3 linked regions of the Sus scrofa genome follow. The protein of the gene in region 3 interacts with the protein of the main gene of each other region in a biochemical or structural test. Links are inferred from orthologs where the notes say so. Each region holds a gene or a part of one and is shown on either strand. Other genes may lie near its edges. The genes, in order: SAFB, SP1 and ESR1.

Region 1 (3,747 bases), on a different chromosome or scaffold from region 3:
CTCTAGGCAAGTCTCACCTCCCACTCCAAAAGCCCACTGTTTACTTGAACAGCCCCCACTCATGCTCAGCACTGTGCCAGGCACCAAGGAGGCACTCTGGAGAAAAAAAAAATAAAACTGAACTTGTCAATGCTGACATCCTGAGATACCGAGTTTCACATTTATATTTTGTTAACCCTTTCTCTACCAGACTATCCTGTGAACAATAGTTCTGTTTAAACCCATTTCAAAGACTATTTGTAAACAGCTTCAAAGATTCTCGGGAGTCTCCCAGTCTAAATTTAGAATGGGGCTAGGGGGCTCCATACCTACTCTCTACCAGAAACAAAGAAAATCTCTCCCTTTTCTCTGAAGCCAGAACCAGAAGACTGAGTTATCTCCTGGGATCAAGGAAAGCACAAACAGAAAGTTCCTCACCCTCTTCCTGGGGAAAGAAGATTCTGGAACACCAAGATTCTGGTACAAGAACTACCTCAGACAGATGTACCAGTTTGACCCTCAGTGTATCTCTGGGTGTAGTGTTTATAGCATCATCCCTAGGGGGGACTATAGGCTATGACTGATTCTTTTGGGCCTCAGCAAATTACAGTTTGTGTGTTCCCCCACCTTTCCCTCTTTTGCCCTTCCTAAAAAAAAAAAAAAAAAACAAAAAAAAAAACAAAGGAACGAAAAACTAGATGATAGACGTAGAAGAGAAAAACATCAGTACTCCCAGATTTGCTTGGGCAGAGTGGCAGATAGGTGTGTACACTCATAGTATTTTTGTAATTTGAGCACATCCCTAGAAAACGGAAAAGGAAGAAAGATGGATCTATCCCCTCAGAGATGCTAGTGACAGAAGATTTCTGAAGTCACACACCAGTCTCAACCACCAGCCTGACAGGAAGGTTCAGTGCCATCTTATCAGCATTGCAGGCTTGTAGACTAAGGGAAAAAGGATACCCCCCCCCCCCAGTTTGGCTTTGTTGACAAGAGGTCCTGGAGGCTACTAACGACATGGATGGGGGGGCAGGGGGCGGTGCCTTCAACCCTCATCCTGCTTGCATCTTTTCCAGGTAAACATCTTAATCAAATGCCTAACCTGTCTGAGTAAAGGAAGTTAGTATCCATACTGAAAGAAACACAGGCTTTCTGAGTTAGACCCAACTGACTCAAGGGAAGTAATTCACCACTCCCAAGCCTGAGCTTCTCAACCAGATAATAGAAAATAATCCCCATTTCCTCTAAATAGCAATTAATAAATAACCCCCCAATCCTCAGTTGTTTGGGAGGCAGGAGGGTGGAATGAGTCACAAACCGCACCGTCTGGAGGGCTTGGGGGTGGGGTGGGGGGTGTTGGATTAAGTGGCAAGGCTTAGCGATTACACGGAAGACCCAAGACAAGTGTCTCTAGGTTGCAAAAAGGCAAAGAAAGAAGCCACAGGAATAAAGCAAACCATAGGGTGAAACAGAAAGGCGCCAACATTTACTTAAACTCACTGCTCTTCACACGCATCCCTCAGAACCCCTCAAGACAGGGGTTAGAACCACCCTCTGCCGCTTGCCAATATCAAACGGTGGCACAGAAAGAAAAGTGACTTGTAACAGCGATCCTACTACCTCTGAGTGTTTACATGTGCTAGGCAACACGCCAAGCCTGTTTCATGCCATCTTACTTAATCCTAGCACGGAAGAACTATTACTTTCCTCTTCGAACACAAAAAGAAACAGGATCGAGAAGGGGTAGTAAATGTCTTCCATGCCCAAGATCAGGCCCCTGGGCCTGGCAGGGGCCTGATCTCTCCCCAACCCTCTATGTTCTATCTCGCGATTGCTAACTGCACTTCCCTTTGCATGCTGTGTCCCCGAGTCCGTGCTGGAAGGTCCCTAAGCCGTTTTTTCTCTCTCTTGGAAGATTTTTTTCGGAACGATTACTTTAACAGTTCATTCAAGGCTTCTAGGCCATAACGGATCAAGGAGCATCTATCTTCCCAAAGGAGAACCGCGCGGCCCGCACGGGCTCAGGGAATCAGACGGCTTGGGTTCAAATCCCCACCTCCCCACTCGGGTCGAATGACCTTGGCCCAGTCCCCACGCCGCGGAGGAAATGAGGATTTCAAGGTTCCGCGTCCACTTTCGCAGACTGGGATGAAACCAACCAAAAAAAAAATCCCTAAAAAACAGTGAATGATGCGGAAAACACAGGCCTTAGCCGATGTCACCCGTCACCCCAAACTTCCCCCGTTCGCTTCCCCAGTCTCGCCCCGATGCGACTCTAGACTTCGAACCTGGAGCTCCCGCCGGAGCCAGAGAGAAGCCGGGAGAAGCGCTGAGCGCCAGGCCCAAAGCAGGCCGCAGACAGGGCCGGGGGCGGACCCCGAGGCCAGGACGCCACCGTCGTGGCTGCCGGGGTCCCCCAACCCACTTCCTGCCCACCCCCAAGGCCCCGGCTCCACCTTTTTGAGCCGCTCCATCAAAACGCTCTTGTTGCCGCTCGAGTCCAGATTCCGTTTCCTCAGCTCCGCCCGCAGATCAATCACCCGCAGGTCGCTGAGGCGCCGCGTCCCGGTCTCCGACGAGGCGGAACTCAGAGCGGCTGCGCCCGCCGCACTCGAATCGCCTAGGCCTGACAGAGCCTCCGCCATTCCAGGGACCCTGGCTCCGCCGCCCACTTCACACAGAACCGGGCAGGATTTATCTCGGCTTCTAGCACAAAATGGCGCCGCCTGCGAGGGAACCGCTCCAGCCGCCCCGGCGCGCCTCGCTCCTGCGCAGGCGCACCCGGCGCGGGTTCGACGCTCCCGGTCGCGTCTGCCCATGCGTGGTGAGAGACTTGGGGAACTGCGCGCAGGCGTGTTGCGTTTTGCTGGCCTCCCGCCGCGATCAGCCGGCACACATGCGTACTGCAGTTACGGCGCCTGCGCGTTGTGCCGGGTCACGTGCGTTTGGTCGACGCGCTAGCGTGCTTGCTGCTAAGAATCCCGGTAGGGGCCGCACGCATGCGCTGCCGGAAAAACTGGGCGGGAGGAAGCGAGTGCGTTTTCCTCGCCGGCGGCGCCATTTTGTGTTCAGAGCCGCTACTGCCGCCGGCGGTGTGAGGAGTAGGTGGCGGAGACGGGGTGCCCGGGATGGCGGAGTCTCCGGCAGGGTCCGGTGACTCGGGTTCTGGCACGGCCAGTGTCGTCTCGGGCGCTTCAGAAGCCGGGACGCGGCGGCTCAGCGATCTGCGGGTGATCGATCTGCGGGCGGAGCTGAAGAAGCGGAACCTGGACACGGGTGGCAACAAGAGCGTCCTGATGGAGCGACTCAAGAAGGTGAGGCAACCAGGGGCCCTGGGGTGGCGCAGGAAGCTGGGGCACGCCCCCGAGCGGGCCTGTCACCGTGACTCCCGGGCCCGGGGCGCCTCCGGCCCGCTTCTCGTGGCCGAACCCAGCCCGAGCTGTCAGGGACCGCGGGGATCCGGCTGTGTGACCTTGGCTCGTCACCGCTTCTCTCTGTGTCTTACCTCCTCCTTTTTTTCTAGTTAGTCGTTTCAAGAGCGCTGAAAGCCCACTATAGCTGCAGGGTGGCTTCTAGACTGCACCCGGGGTTTGGGTTGGAGACTGTTTGTGTGACCTTGGACAAGTGCTTTCCGTTACTTGCTCTTGTTTCTTGTCTTGGAGATCCAAGAGAGAAAGATCCTTTGAGGTTTTCTGTCTTGGAGAGGTTTTCTTTCTTGGAGATCCAAGACTGAAGATCCTTTGAGATTTCTCGGGGTGGAGGGTGCTT
Region 2 (3,748 bases), on a different chromosome or scaffold from region 3:
GGAAAAATCACCTCTAACCTTTGCAGTTGCAAAAAGCAGGCACTCTATCTGGCTACTTGCTTTATGTTTAAACGTTATTTACAATTACGGGGTAGAGGCAGGGGCGGGGGTGGGGTAGCAGCTTACAGGACCTCGAACTCCAGGAAGTCCTCCAACACTCTTTAGCCTCAAAAGCAAGCTCTCGAAGAGTTAACCGGCCTTAAGTAGCTATCAACTTTGGGGGAATTTAGTAAAATGGCGTTTGCTGGAGTCTCACAAAGACCTTGCAAATTGGTCAGTGCGTTATTAACCTACTGTATGAGCGCCCTCGCCAGATCTCCTTGCGCCAGCACCCACAGGGGTTACACCATATTCTGAGGCATCCGCCTGCCAGTCCGCCCACCGCGGAGGGGGGAGACCTGAGAGGTACTTTTAAAAGCGGTTAAGTGAAGACTCAAACAAGCCCTGATGTCGAGGAAGAAATGCGACGCGCCGCGGGGCTCGGCCCTGACACTTGTTGAATTGCAGGGCTCTGCTGAAGCCTTGCCACCTAATCACGGTAAAGACGTCCCCAGAGGAGGGCCAAAATGGCGACGGACTCCTCTTGGCACAGCCCTGTTACCTCCCCGACAACTGGCGCCTCTAGTAACGCCCATTGGCCAAGCCGGAGGCGGTGCCTGGCTTCCCTCGCTGCCTCATTGGGCTGAGTGACTGAAGCAGCCGCCAATTCTCCCCTGCCTACTCCAGGTTCCCGCCCTCACAGTTTAAGCAGCATTCAATTGGCTTTTATTCACGTCAATTTGTGTCCTAGCGCGTCTCTTTTCAGTGTTAATCCAATCATAATTTTCCTGGCCGCCCGCCTGATTTCTGATTGGTTTTGATAAGCTTCATCCTATCCCATTCCTGTCTACTTTTTACCACCTCCCACCAGGACTTTGCCCAGGCTTGCCCAGGGTTTTGGTTGGTCGCTGTTCTGTCATTCCAATGAAAACCCTTCCTATCCCTACGTCTCAGCGAGCCCGCCTGGCAGTTGACTGGTTTCTCTCCAAGCCTATCATCTCTAAATCCCGCCTATCTTCACTTCCTGCACCTTTCATTGGCTTTTAAAACTGAGAGGGCGCCCTTTTTGGGCGGACACCACGCACGCAACTTTGTCTTACACGCCTTAGAGAGCAAACGAGTCTCGCCATTGGGTAATTTGCCTGTCTTTCTTTTGCAAGTCCCTCCTTTCACCCTCCCTTATTGGGCGGGGCAGCAGTGGAGGGGCGGGGCCTAGGCCGGGCTTGTGGCGCGCTGCTCCCTCCTCTTTACCCCCCCCTCCCTGTCCGGTCCGGGTTCGCTTGCCTCGTCAGCGTCCGCGTTTTTCCTGGCCCCCCCAACCCCCCCGGACAGGACCCCCTTGAGCTCGTCCCTCAGCTGCCACCATGAGCGGTAAGGATGAGTCCACTCCAAGCTTAGGGGTGGGAGGGGAGTGAGGGGGCGCGCGCGAGGGCCGACCGGGCGGTCCCCGCCGTGAGGGGGGCGGGCGGGAGGCGGCGGCGGCGGCCTTGGTCCCGCCCGGGGCGGAGGGAAGGGAGGGAGAAGGGGCAGTGGCGGGGCCTCGGAGGAGGAGGGGGATGGGCCGCCCGCCCCGGGGGAGGGGGCAGCGTGGCCTCGCCCGCCCCCTGCCCGCCCCAGCCACGGGGGACGGGCCTTACCCCCCACTACTCGGCCGCCCGCCTGAGGCTCCTCCTGCCGGGGGCTGGAGCCGCGGGGGCGGCCCGAGCAGTGCAGGCCCCGCCCGGGCCAACCGCCTCCCTGGTCCGCCCTCTGGTCGCCGCCGGCCCCAAGGCCCTCCTCCCCCCACCCCCCGAAGGTTACCCCTCCCCCCCGTAGATTACCCCTCCCCCTACCGTCCCGCCCTTTCCACGCCCCTCACCCCGAAACCGCCCTTTCCTTCTAGGGCCCGCCCTCTGTCCGCCCCGAAACTCCTGATTTCTAACCCCTGGACCTCTTTAGCCCCTTTCTAGTATTCACAAATGTTCCCCCCTACAAAACTTTTTATCTCATCTTTTCTCCTTCCCCTTCCTTTCCTCTTGTGACTTTCTACACTTGAATTCTTCCCTTTCTCCATCTCCTTTGACCCTAATTTGAGCAAGCTTTCCATCCACCCACATGTTTTATGCCTTATCTATATTTCTCCTTTTTTTCCCCGCAGGATACTTTTAAACTCCTTCAACATGTCCACGGACCCTTACATTGTCTATACCAAAAGCACCTTTTCATTGTTTTCTGAGTTTAATTTTGTACGAGGGAGAACTGCGGCCCAGTTTTGGCACCAAGGGGCCCAGTTCAGGTCTTCCTAGCCCTACAGCTGTCTCTTCTTCCCCAATCCTTTTTTGTTTGTTTGTTTAAATACTGGGACTTTCACCTTCCTGTTAGTCATTTTTGTTTGGTCCTAGTCTTCCTTACCCTTCTTCATTTTATCTTTTTTCTTTCCCCAACTTTAAGTTATCTTTTAATTCTTTTTAGACCAAGATCACTCCATGGATGAAATGACAGCTGTGGTGAAGATTGAAAAAGGAGTTGGTGGCAATAATGGGGGCAGTGGTAATGGTGGTGCCTTTTCTCAGGCTCGAAGCAGCAGCACAGGCAGTAGCAGCAGCGGTGGAGGAGGAGGAGGGCAGGTAGGTGATCATCTGGACAGAGTGGGCATCGTGTTGAGAGGATGTAGATATTCTTAGATGATTGTCTTTTCACAAAAAAATTTTTAGGAAAGGGCTAATTTACAGATAGGGAAGTAAGTACAGAGACAAGTGACTTGGAGATCCCCAAAGATGAGAATTTCAAATTTCAGCAGTGTAGATAGGTTGGCTTTTTGTTTGCTTGGGGGGGGCACTGTTTTGCTGTTTATTTATTTATTTTGGGTTTTTTTTACTGTTTATTTTTTTCTACTGCCCCCAGGGCTGGCAGCTGGTGTCACTAAACTAATCTCTTTCCTCTCCCTTATTTTTGGCCAGGAGTCCCAGCCATCCCCTTTGGCTCTGCTGGCAGCAACCTGCAGCAGAATTGAGTCACCCAATGAAAACAGTAACAACTCCCAGGGCCCAGGCCAGTCCGGGAGCACAGGTGAGCTTGACCTCACAGCCACACAGCTCTCCCAGAGTGCCAATGGCTGGCAGATCATCTCTTCCTCCTCTGGGGCTACCCCTACCTCGAAGGAACAAAGTGGCAGCAGTACCAATGGCAACAATGGTGGTGAGTCTTCCAAGAATCGCACTGTCTCTGGTGGGCAGTATGTCGTGGCTGCCACATCCAACCTGCAGAACCAGCAAGTCCTAACAGGACTGCCTGGAGTGATGCCTAATATTCAGTATCAAGTAATCCCACAGTTCCAGACGGTTGATGGGCAACAGCTGCAGTTTGCTGCCACTGGGGCCCAAGTACAGCAGGATGGTTCAGGTCAGATACAGATCATACCAGGTGCAAACCAACAGATCATCACAAATCGAGGAAGTGGAGGCAACATCATTGCTGCTATGCCAAACCTACTCCAGCAGGCTGTCCCCCTCCAAGGCCTAGCTAATAATGTACTCTCAGGACAGACTCAGTATGTGACCAATGTACCAGTGGCCCTGAATGGTAATATTACCTTGCTACCTGTCAACAGCGTTTCTGCAGCTACCTTGACTCCTAGTTCTCAGGCAGTCACGATTAGCAGCTCCGGGTCCCAAGAGAGTGGCTCACAGCCTGTCACCTCCGGGACTGCCATCAGTTCTGCCAGTTTGGT
Region 3 (3,648 bases):
GAAAATACATGCTAATAGCACAATAAACATTAACAGCAACTAAGAATTGGCTTTCAGGGATATGACCATTTTTTTTGCTGTTTTTTTTTTCTCTTCTCCCAAAGTATTGTTTTAAAAAACAAAGGCAGTAACAAATCTAAAGATAAAACCTACGACCATATTATAATTAAATTCTAATATTTAGTTGTCATAGATCTGCTCCACATGAGGATGCTAAGGTAGGTAAGTTCTCAATAAACTTAATTCCAAAGATGGCTGGGAGTTTTTATTTGCCAGTTGGACTGACCCTGAAAATCTAAGTATGCTTATTAATTCCCATGTTTCCATGTAACCCAACCTCTGCCACCTAAATAAATGCCCTATATCAGGTTTGGATCACGTTACTGGTTCCTTATTCAAAGGACTACAAGTTTATATGTTAATATATGCAAATACATGAAATAGTACATAAGGCCAGATATATGTTCGCTTGGGCTATTAATAGAGTTGGTGAACTCTAAAATGCAAGTACAAAACTCTACATTTATTTAGTTTGATAAAGAACATCCCATGCTTCATAGGTAATAATTAATCTATTCAAAGAAAGCAAACAAGACAATTGCTGTCTAAATTCATTACTTATTTGATCTATAAGCCCATAAAAAAAAAAAAAAAGATTTAACTTCCTCTTGCCTTGGTTCATCTACCTTAGCTCCTGAATGGATATGATGGGGCATGGAGGAGGTCATTTTCTAGTCTTGTTTCCATAATAACTAGAGTTCTTCTCCCTGAACAACAAGAGCAACAGTCAAGGTTTACAGGAACATCAGTACTGAGAGTATCAACTGAAGGACCAAGTATCACTTCAGCCACTGCTATCTTTCTAAAAGCTCCTCTCAGGGCTGAGAACCTAATTTATTTTCTGTTGTATTATCTTTCTCCTAAAATATTGAGAAGAGATGGTTGAATGAATAATTGGCATTCGGTTTAAAAAAAAAAAAAACCCTATTATTATCTCGTTAGTCCATAAACATCTTAAAAGAAAATATTTTAAGGTAAAATTGATTATTAATAATTTAGGTGTTTTGAATGAAAGTCCTCAATATTAAAATTTTATAGGGCATAGATCATTTGGTGTTAAAAACTTCTGACACTGGGAACACACAATATGAAATGCATTTATAACGGAGTGTCCACCCCAGATTTTTTAGTGAATAGGATGAGTTAAAAATAATGTCAGATTAAAGCCTTTAATACTCTAGATTTTGATTGTAAAACATTATTCCCTAATTTTCAGGAGAATTACAGTGTACTGACACTGAAAATTAACAAATCCTGATGTAACCTTGAAACTGATTAGATCACAAGCCATTGTCCCCACACTATCACGACCAGTTCATGAATAGCTAATGGCCCTTAAAAATAAAAGTTGAGCTTCATGTTCTTACCTGGCACCCTCTTTGCCCAGTTGATCATGTGTACCAGCTCCCTGTCTGCGAGGTTGGTCAGCAAGCCCATCATTGAAGCCTCACTGAGGGGTCTGGTAGGATCATACTCGGAATAGATTATGGGGGGCTCAGCCTCCAACAAGGCACTGATCATCTGGTCGGCTGTCAGGGACAAGACCGGGCTGTTCTTCTTAGTGTGTTTAATCAAGAGAGGGCTTGGCCAAAGGTTGGCAGATCTCATGTCTCCAGGGGGCACCGCTTCATTCCTGCCCTCTCCATCATCTCTCTGGCGCTTGTGCTTCAACATTCTCCCTCCTCTCCGGTCTTTCCGTATCCCTGAGAATACAGACCAAAAAAAAAAAAAAAAAAAAAAAAGCCAGTTTATACTTTTTCTCATATTAACTTTCATACTACAACTATCTTCGATGCTCACAGCCCTTTATTTTATTTAAGGACATAGTTGGGGACATAGTTGTGCTGGTGTTTAACAACCAGCTGTCCAAGAGGGGGGAAAAAAAACTTCCATTGGTAGCATTTGCCAATTTCCATGGTGTAACTACTCCCACCATGGCAAATTTCAAGCTACTTGTCTGATATCAAGCAGCATACAAACTCCTGAAAATTTAACAGTAGGCTTTTGTGAGCCAGTAAAAGCTGGTTCTAACAAACCACTGGGGTGTGTGTGTGACAGATGTTATTAAAAAGTTCAACATTACAGTATTTAGCCATTCTTGAAATATGACAGCATAAAAGATTGCTTCTGCTATGAATATTATTACTATTGTTATTACTATTATTTTAAGGACCTCACCTGTGGCATATGGAAGTTCCTGGTTTAGGGGCGAATTGGAGCTGCAGCTGCAGTCTTATGCCACAGCCACCCCAACACTGGATCTGAGCCGCATCTGCAGCCTATGCTGAAGCTTTCAGCAATGCTCGATCCTTAACCCACTGAACAAGGCCAGGGATCCAGCCTGCATCCTCACAGACACTATGTCAGACTCTTAACCCACTGAGCCCCAATGGGAACTCTTGAATATTCTTTTAATAGCAAATTTAAAAGGCATTCGAGAAAAGCACTTAATAAACATCCTTATCGTCCTGTTGACTTCTTGATGGCAAGACACTAAGGGGGAATGACTTATCCAAAACACATCTGACAGCCTTTGGACCCCACCAGCGTTCAGTCAGGCTTTCATTGCTACTAAGCGGTACTTCATCACCTAAGCGACTGAGCCAAGACCCTCAACTTGTTTCCTTGGTTGTAAGGTTTTTACAAATGTATTTCCATTTTCCTAATATAAAAGTTTTCAAATAGTTGAAAATAGTTTTCCCCCAAAGATTTACCCAGCTGTGGTTCTCACTAACTAGATTATGGGGGACTGGAGGCTCCAATCTCTTTGGCAGACATTCTTGGAAGTTTGGCTCAACATCTTAACCTGGAAAAGGCCAGGCTGTGAAGTTAAAATCTATCAACCGAAACATGCATTTTAAAGGGCAAAAATTAACACAAGCTTCCATATTTTCAAAAACTCTAATCTCTCCAAAATACATCAGACAGCAAGAGTTCTTCGATTATACATAAAAGAAATAGTCAGTTTAGTAAAAAGTTAATACAATTATTTTTAATATTAAAGATAGAAGTAAACACTCTTTATAACATCACTTGTTCTCTCACTCTGAAACAAATGAAAAACTAATGTCAGAATTTTGTTCTGTTTTGTTCTAATTTGTTAAGGGATTTGAACAAATGTTCTGTGGTGAATTTTTTTTTTTTTTCCCTTTGGCTGAGCCCATATCATGTGGAAATCCCAGGGCTGGAGATTCAGCTGGCGCCACAGCAGTGACAATGCCGAAGCCTTAACCCACTGCCGCACAAGGAACTCTCATCAATAGTGAATTTTTTATGTGTAACTTTTATTCTTTTAGGTCTAGATTAGATATGTTAGAAGATATTAAAAATTTAATGAAGCCGCAGATCCTATTCCTATTTGTTCAGTATTAAACGAAGCCTTTCCCAGAGCTCTTGGGATAAGTAATAATTGTAAAGATTATTAGCACTGACGGGCCCTGAGCATGTGCCATGTGTTTTAAGCACCTTATATACACTTTACACGTAACCATTTTACAACTAATTTAGTTTTCACAATAATCCTGTAAGGTAAATACAGGAAAACCGCTGTTTTGAAAGTTTAATGAACTTGTCTGAGATCATTCTCTG

What was found.
Region 1: the proteins of ESR1 (region 3) and SAFB form a complex in vitro, tested with the Homo sapiens proteins (2 studies listed by BioGRID). The link is inferred for Sus scrofa from reciprocal best matches to the Homo sapiens genes ESR1 and SAFB.
Region 2: the proteins of ESR1 (region 3) and SP1 form a complex in vitro, tested with the Homo sapiens proteins (6 studies listed by BioGRID and IntAct). The link is inferred for Sus scrofa from reciprocal best matches to the Homo sapiens genes ESR1 and SP1.

What each region holds. Positions count from the first base shown.
Region 1 is NC_010444.4:73,331,587-73,335,333, forward strand, and holds the start of SAFB (scaffold attachment factor B1), read right to left. Parts: upstream 2,801-3,747; 5' UTR 2,799-2,800; coding exon 2,436-2,798; intron 1-2,435. Other genes in the region: SAFB2 (scaffold attachment factor B2), read left to right, coding at 3,108-3,293. UniProt on the Homo sapiens protein: Binds to scaffold/matrix attachment region (S/MAR) DNA and forms a molecular assembly point to allow the formation of a 'transcriptosomal' complex (consisting of SR proteins and RNA polymerase II) coupling transcription and RNA processing.
Region 2 is NC_010447.5:18,587,538-18,591,285, forward strand, and holds the start of SP1 (transcription factor Sp1), read left to right. Parts: upstream 1-1,225; 5' UTR 1,226-1,403; coding exon 1,404-1,410; intron 1,411-1,912; exon of another isoform or gene 1,913-2,314; intron 2,315-2,490; coding exon 2,491-2,645; intron 2,646-2,978; coding exon 2,979-3,748. UniProt on the Homo sapiens protein: Transcription factor that can activate or repress transcription in response to physiological and pathological stimuli.
Region 3 is NC_010443.5:14,372,546-14,376,193, forward strand, and holds part of ESR1 (estrogen receptor), read right to left. Parts: intron 1,764-3,648; coding exon 1,428-1,763; intron 1-1,427.